Drosophila melanogaster: one gene and its partner. The protein of the gene in region 1 interacts with the protein of each later gene in a pairwise test. Each region holds a gene or a part of one and is shown on either strand. Other genes may lie near its edges.

Region 1 (4,307 bases):
AGAACGCCATAAACATATGGCCATTATGCTGTACGCTTTGGCTAATGGCCCGCCTGCCACTAAGCCCACTGAGGTGAGAGGAATATGTACATACATACACATGTTTCGGCTCTTCCCGTGCCGGAGCAGCACTTCCAATGAGCTCGTAAAACTCGCCGGGCTGTGGGACGATTGCTTCCAGAGCTTCTTTCGGTGCTTACTGATGTCTTAGATGCAACTACAAGTGCTGCTGCTCCCGCTGGTCATTAGCCGAGATGGCGGCACGCACCCGATGCGGCTTGGAGTTGGGTCATTTGTGCCGACGAATGGGGCGTCTCTTAAGCCGATGCTAATTTCCATAATGCACGCCTTGATGGCGGCCAACAGGTCCTGATCCCCACTGCGTTTTCCACACTCTGCGAATAAAAAGTGGGGGTTATGGGTCTGGGTTTTATACGCTTTACATATGTAAGCTTACAAGTTCATTTGTAATTCAAGTTCAAGCACCCAAAAAATACTCTCTATATATGCAGTAAGTATTTTTGAATAATGTTTTAGTTTTCAGTGTGCTATCACCTCGAAATGAGTAAATGTCTGGGTAATCTAGGAAACTTAGCTTGCGGAATGGTCACGTGATACGTCAGGTGCGGGAGAAACCTATTCTGAAATACAAAAATGAGTATTTTGCAATCAAATGAAAGCCAAAATCCAATTTAGGATCGCCTCCAGTTGACACCTCCGTGGCCTAGAGACTCCACTTGCCTCGACTGTGGCCCTGGCCATGGCGATTTAATGGCTTCGCAATTGGCCTGACCCATCTGTGGACCAGGCCAAGTGCCAGGTGATCGTGGCCAGTATGACTGCGAATCGTGGAGCGGAGCAGGCGGCTTTTGTCGCTGTCCCCGGCAACATGAGTATGATTTATTGTACTTTATGTGGCCGGAGCAGCTTCTGCCCGCAGTTCGTGATGGCTTCGCTGGCTTCGTTAGTCGCGTTCCTGGGATCTGGATGCATTGCTATATACTCTGTACATGGGTATTTGGAAAGTGTTCTGTGCCAGGAGTACTGTATTTTTGGTTGTGCTTAGCATATTAAGTGGTAACTTATACATGATGACCTAAGGAATATGCAGCATGAAGCAGCAAATCACACGATCTATTTATATAAAATAAGGACTATAAGCTCACATGATATTGCAAGGGTATTACAAAGTACGGTTCTAAAACTTAAACGTATTTTGCTTTTTTGATCTGAAAATTCTGCACTTGGCCGTGCGGCGATTATGTGTATCATTTTTCTTTGCCAGCGGCTGGGATTCTACGTTATTGTATTTTATATTATTTGTGCTTAATTTGGGGAGCACAGGTAAGGAGCAGTGGGAGCCGTGCACCTGATCCCAAGAGTGTTGTGACTCTTGAGGCCGCTGGACAAGTTCGTTGATTCGCGGCAGGCAAATGACCATGTGCTCCTCAACATTTTGTGGGCAGGAGCACTTGGACTATTAGCCAAGATATTTTCCCTCCCCTTTCCTTTTTTTTTTCGTTTTTTTCCTTTTGTCAATTCCCAGGGACTTTTGCTTGGCCAAGGAACGAGATTTATGTTAGTATGGTGTCAGTTTAAGTTAATGGGTTATACTCCCCGCCAGTTTTTTATTTAATATTTTATAGGCGAACGTTTTTTGTGCGTCTCATTCTTATTTTTATGCACAATTTTATTCTTTTTCCTTTGGCTGCTGCGCAGGTGAATTTTTTTTGAATTTATGACCATACCTTTTAAATTGCTTTGTGGCAATTTCCGTGGCACCCACACAATGCGAGAAGTTAATTTATTAGTAAACTCAATGTTTCAGGTTTGTTATGATTTTTGTTTTTTAGCTGAAAAACGACTTAAGTATATATGTATAATCTATATAATCTATCTATATAATCTATATTTTTCCCTGCTTAACGAGTTGCTATTAAAAATCTGACACATTAACTTTTAGTAATTTTCGCGTATGAATATGTATCACAAACACATTCGACTACAAGCTTTATATCGAATATTTTATCGGAAATCAGTGTTAATCAGGACTCTCTCAAATGTCATTTTGGCAAGCTATAGTATTGCAAACCAAAGCGATCTCTGCCACACGTGTTTTTTCCTCGCAACGCTTATAAATTACGAGATAAGCTCTGAGTCTTATAGAAATCCAGAGTAAGATATGAAACGTCATTATTACAATACTGGGGATGACCAGCAGGAGGTGGAGAGCTCTCCAAGTCCGCCGCCTCCTCCGCCTTTCCAATCGCCATTATCATCGCCCGAGTCTTTGCAGACCCCGGATGGATATCCCATTTTGTACGTGGATGTGGTAAAGAATAAGCCCAAACAGGAGTTGCCGCCGTCCGCATCACCGTCCCAACCACTTGCGCCGGAGTTCAGCATCTTTCGCGAAGATTTTCCGGCTCTGCCAGGATCATTACCATCTGCATTACCAACCGCATTACCAACGACATCGAGCCCTGTGGTGCCCGACGACTGGACAGCCATGATGAGCAACAGCGAGCAGGTCGAACTCGCCAAATTTCGAAATACAGTTATCCGTAATTCCAGTGATCCGTGCGTTAACGCTAACGGCAACGAGGTGCTCCGTCAGCCAACCCATGCTCCCGAGAAGCGCCAGAATATGGAGTTGCTGCCCCATATGTACGGTTATCTCGGCAATCCGTTCCGTTTAAATTTGAGCATGATATTTACCAAGCAATTCCTGCTCGAAGGCGTCAGGCAGAGGGCTATAAATGCGGCCCACAAGAGGGCTGCCCTGGCAAAACCAGCAATCCAACCACCACCCGGATTCGAGAATTGCAAAATTTTTGCCCGCTTGATAACCAACAGTGATGGTATGCCACTGGGTGGAGTCACATTTGAGCTGGGCTCACCCACTAATGAAACGACTTCGAATGTGGAGGCGAAACCTTCGGGTTCCACCATTCAGGGAGCCTTTGGGATGTTGGGACTGGCCAAGAAACTGCGATCGATTAATCAGAACCCGCTTCTATTCGGAAATAATGTTGCCCACAATATAGGCGGAGCCGCGGACTCGATCTTTACCGGGCCAATTCAAGAAGCCCGTTTGACTCCTCAGGAGATGAGCTACAAATTGCCATTGAACTATCTCTTCAATGTAAATATGAGCCTACAGGAGCCCAAAATCGAGGAAATGCATGATGAGCTCCTATTTTTCTTCTTCTACACATATGCTGGCGACATGATGCAGATGCTCGCGGCTGCTGAACTGGCGGAACGTGGATGGCGCTATCACAAGTATGAACATTTCTGGGTCATTCGCCAGGCGGACAATCCCAACTACTTATATCACGGATTCCGGGAGTTCGGAGAGTACAATTACTTCAACATGTGGCAGTGGAAGATCCTGCCACGACACTTTTACCTGGATCCCGAGATCCTGGAGCGCACTCTATCCAAGGAAGAGCTGTATGTGACGTACGGATACCATCCCCAGATGTCGGGTATTTAGAAGAAAGTTCTTTTGTCATCAATAGCCAGGGATATACGGGTTTAAAAATTCTCTCTGACGCTGTAGCATCTTTTTTATAAAAACAAATTAAATTTTTTATAAATATTCATAAGCGTTTTATTAATAAATTCAGTGTGGGGAATGTATTTATTTATATTTAGTATATATAGTTGCCTGTTTTCTTAGTTCTATCAATTGGTGTTTTTTGCGAATTTGTAGTGTTCATATTTATTCACTATTTATTTATTATTGTATTAAAAGTTAACCAGCGGATGACCAACCCATGTTTTAGTCACCTTGCAACCACGGACCCACCGCCGAAAAAAATCCAAGCAACCACACCCTCCAAATGCCATCGCAAATCCACAATCCACACAAGACCACTGAGTACCCAGCACCACCACCACCTTCATAGCCAAGCCCCAAAGATACGAGGAAAATCGCAGCGCTCATTAGCAAAATGGAGCAGACGGACAGTTGCACATTTGGAGTCGCAGCTTTCCGCCCAGACACGATCTCTTGGCCAAGTGTCGCCGTCATTTAGCCCGCTAATTGCCACGTAAATTTGCAACCATTTTTGGCAGCTCATTAAATTTATTATTAAAACAAAAGCCGGAGCGAAGCCAAGTTAATTGCCATCAAATTGACATGCGAGCCGCTTGGAGACGGACGACAACACCCGCCTGGAATGGCCGTTTGGGATTTGCTCGCTGGGATTCGGACTCGCCGGAGCTCGCAACTCTGCGCATGCGTATTAATTGCCATGGAAACTTCATAATTTCATGTGGAAAAATGTGAACGTTAGGCG
Region 2 (4,189 bases), on another chromosome or scaffold:
TCTGGAATCTGCAAGAAATCACACAATTAGTAAGCAAACTAACAATCGGAGTGTCGGTCACGTGAAGCCACTAAACCAGATTGCAAAATATCAGGGCTGGCTCACTAACTTCGAATTAAAGTAAAATACATATTCTAAGCTGCTCGAGCGATAAAGGAAAGTTGTGAATAAAGTCAGTTTCTTGCACTTGTTCATGATTCATACTATTAAATTGTGGTTAATTAGCATAATTTGTGCTATTAAAGTATTAGTTTTATCTTAGCAACTTTGTCATGAGCCTAAGCAATATTTTAATAAATTTCTAACGATCAAAATCACTGCAAAATATTTAATATTTATTGGGTAAAATATGGAATTTATTGCACCAAATTGCAATTTATTGCAAATTTATAATAAAAAAAAGGTTATTAATATTATTTATTTATTTGAGGCTAACTTAATGTATAAAACTATAAGCAATCTGAGATCTAGCAATAGAAGCTTTGTAAATATATTATTTTAATTCTTTATTAAATTCGTAACAGACATGGTTTTGAAAAACTAGTTTTTAAATATATCATTGTAAGCATAGAAAAGAGTGAAAATGAAAGAATAAATAACGGTTCAAATTTGAGAAATTTGATCCTTTAAAGAAGCTTCTCTCGATTTTAGCGTAAAATATTCTCTTTATAGAGACATAAAAATTATTTCTATAAAACTTGACTGATTTGCGGGGCGTTTGTAAATATATTGACATTTGCTTTGTGATAAACAATATAGTTTAATATTTGTTTTTTTTTATTTTTTCGATGGCGATGCGTTATCTTATCGGCCATTCCACTTTGCCTCGCAGCTTCGTATTGCTTTCAAAGTCTGCCATTTTTGCGCGATTTGCTTCACTTATTGTTTTTCTATCATTGTCTTGCTGTTTTTGCGCCCATTTTGAGAAACGTGAGAGGCATTTGATAAAAGTTGTTATTTACCAATTGTGCCCTCTGCGATTTGTGCCTAGTTCGAGGGCGAAAACGGGTTTCAAAAACGCCAAGGTGATTCATCTGGCTATCAGGTGAGTTAAAAACCACAAAGACTAGAAAAATGGGTCAGCACAAAGGGGAATTGGACAAAATCTAAACAAAGAAGCGCAACAGAATCTAAAGCGCAAAGCAAAAGGGGCAATAAAAACGGGCATAGACGAAGATGCCGACTGTTGATTATTGTGGAGTGCAATTAAAGTGTAAATAAGTCGCCACACAGACATGACGCAATTAGATTCAACAAGTCAATACGAAGCAATTAATCGGCATTAATGCAGGGCAGGTATATTTGCGTTCTCAACTCGAAAATAACTAAAAAGACTACATATATTGCTTACCACTCGGAATTGCGTCGCAAGGAATGCAGTAAATTCACTGATTTATCACTGTTGTTGCACTCTTTTTAATTGGCTGAAACAACACTAATGTGCAAGTCAACCGATTGTATTTAACAAGTCGCTCTTGATGATCCAGTCCCAAAGACCTTTCGTTGTTTAATGAAAACCAGCAGAAATTGTTTAAACAAGAAATCTCCGACAGAGTGACCAGTCCGAATCTTCTGGAAATACCAGAAGTTGCCTGAGCAGACGGCTTATCGATAACAGCGTGGGCAGTGATGCAGTTCTTGTGTGTAAAACGGCCAAATTCAGTCGCTAAATCGAAATAATTGGTCAGCCTAAATATATGCAAGAGCTTTTTAGTTTATGTTTATTTAATAATGAGTGTTAAATAACTAAAAACTATACCTCTCTTGTTACTTTTGCAATCGAAAGATTTCTAAGTCACTCAACGAACTCAATTTAAATTATACAACAAATGTCTAAACTGAATTTTGTTCAACAGTGTTTTGAAATACTAAATGTTAGAATTCACCCGTTGATGGTAACACTGCTGAGGTAAGAAGAAGACAAATTTTGCTCGTCATTGGGAATTGACGATTCACTGAATTTTTGATAAACTCAACAAAGTAAACGCATTATATATCCCGTAAGTAGTGCAGCGACTACTAATAACCCCAAACCGATCACGGCACCATAAAACACTTTCGAGTTATGCGCCAAAGAAAGTCGTAATTACAATACGTTCTTCATCCAATCTTCGCCAGCTCTCAAGAAGCACCCGCATCATGTTTGGAAGACAAAGTGGACTGGGTAGTTCCAGCAACAGCAGCAACCTGGTGGAGTTCCGCGCAGGTCGCATGAACATGGTGGGCAAGATGGTGCATCCGGATCCGCGCAAGGGCCTGGTCTACATGACCCAGAGTGACGATGGCCTGATGCACTTCTGCTGGAAGGATCGCACCTCCGGCAAGGTGGAGGACGATCTCATCGTCTTCCCCGATGACTTCGAGTACAAGCGCGTCGATCAGTGCAAGACGGGCCGTGTCTATGTGCTTAAGTTCAAGTCATCGACACGCCGCATGTTCTTCTGGATGCAGGAGCCCAAGACGGACAAGGACGACGAGCAGTGCCGCCGCATCAACGAGCTGCTGAACAACCCTCCATCCGCCCACCAGCGCGGCGGCGGCGGCAGCAACGACGGCGACCTCCAGTACATGCTCAACAACATGTCGCAGCAGCAGCTGATGCAGCTCTTCGGCGGCGTTGGCCAGATGGGTGGTCTCAGCTCGCTGCTGGGCCAAATGAAGTGAGCATTTAAACCCTTGCAGCCATAGTGTCCAAGAACTAGTCAAGTAGATAGCTTCTTAACTTACAGGGTATCGTTTTTATTGTTTATAAGCATGTAATCGAAGGAATGAAGCCAGAACTTGAGTTCACCCCCTTTTTCAATATTTTCCTTTCTATATTCTCCGCAGCTCCCGGACGCCCTCGTCGCGCAACACCTCCTCATCGGGTGGCGGTGGGGCATCGGCCTTGCAGACGCCCGAAAACGTCAGTGTGCCGCGCACTCCGAGCGCTCCATCGAAATCGGGCAGCAGCCGCAGCAGCAGCAATGTGAACTCGCAGGTCGGCGAAGGTGCCGGCTCCTCCGTTGATGCGGATGCCCCCGGTAAGAACTCAACCACATCGACCACAACGGCGTCAAAATCGACCGGAGCCTATGCCAATCCATTCCAAGCCTACTTATCCAATCTCTCCCCCGAACATGGCGCAGGACGATCCCTGAATATTGACCTATCGACGGCCCTACCCGGCGCCGATGCCATCAATCAGATAATTGCCGATCCGGAGCATGTCAAGACGCTGATCGTGCACCTGCCCGAGTCGGAGGATGTGGACGATGATCGCAAGCAGCAGATCAAGGACAATATCACCTCCCCGCAGTTCCAGCAGGCTCTGGCCCAGTTCTCCAGTGCCCTGCAATCGGCCCAGCTGGGACCTGTGATCAAGCAATTCGAGTTGTCCAACGAAGCAGTGGCCGCCGCCTTCTCTGGCAATCTAGAGGATTTTGTGCGTGCTCTGGAGAAGAGTCTGCCCCCCGGTGCCACCATGGGTGGCAAACCCTCCGCCAGCGAGAAGAAGGCCAGCGATCCCGAAACCCCAACTTCAGTGGCCCGCGATGAGAACACAGATCCCGCTACCGAAAAACAGGAGGAGAAGCAAAAGTAGCTTACGTGTGCGGCTTGGTAGTCATTGATATGGAATCCGAAAGCAAATTTTTTCATGTGCTGAGTGATTTTTGGATGCTAAATAAATTCAAATGGGAGTTAATCGGTAGTTATCTATCTAATTGTGTGTTTGATATACATCAAAACGGCTTATTAATTTATATTTAAAATATTACTACTTTAATAAAAGGATACGCGTTTTGGTAAGTACTCGTCCAGCTCTTTTCAGAATGCATCATTATACTCATTATACTTGGGTTTTTGGCTTACCTAATTTAATTTAAAAAAACAAAGTCTAACGTGTACAATTTATTTTAAATTTTGAAGTTAATAATGGGGGGATATATGGAAGTAACGGTAATATTAATCCCGACAAGGTCATTTTGTTGGTGTCCCCCTAACAAAAGCTCGCTGCCCCGCTCTCTCATCGCAACACACTGGTCGTCCCTTTCTGGCGCGAATTGCGCGCTCTCTCAGCGAGAGCCGTCTCACACAGATATATACACACACAGGCACACGCAACAATATTTATTTTATTCAATTCCAAAACGGCCAGCAAATAAGTTGTGTTTGTGCAAAACTCGCGCGTTCGCAATTTTCCGAAGCT

Evidence for each region.
Region 2: the proteins of CG15262 (region 1) and Rpn13 interact in a two-hybrid assay, tested with the Drosophila melanogaster proteins (2 studies listed by BioGRID).

Annotation. Positions count from the first base shown.
Region 1 is NT_033779.5:15,295,765-15,300,071, forward strand, and holds CG15262 (uncharacterized protein), read left to right. Parts: upstream 1-2,043; 5' UTR 2,044-2,182; coding exon 2,183-3,499; 3' UTR 3,500-3,603; downstream 3,604-4,307.
Region 2 is NT_033778.4:13,958,039-13,962,227, reverse strand, and holds Rpn13 (regulatory particle non-ATPase 13), read left to right. Parts: upstream 1-1,823; 5' UTR 1,824-1,909; exon of another isoform or gene 1,910-2,000; intron 2,001-2,019; exon of another isoform or gene 2,020-2,118; 5' UTR 2,119-2,139; coding exon 2,140-2,660; intron 2,661-2,829; coding exon 2,830-3,583; 3' UTR 3,584-3,683; downstream 3,684-4,189. Other genes in the region: CtsL1 (cathepsin L1), read right to left, coding at 1-8, 963-1,034. UniProt on the Drosophila melanogaster protein: May function as a proteasomal ubiquitin receptor. May promote the deubiquitinating activity associated with the 26S proteasome.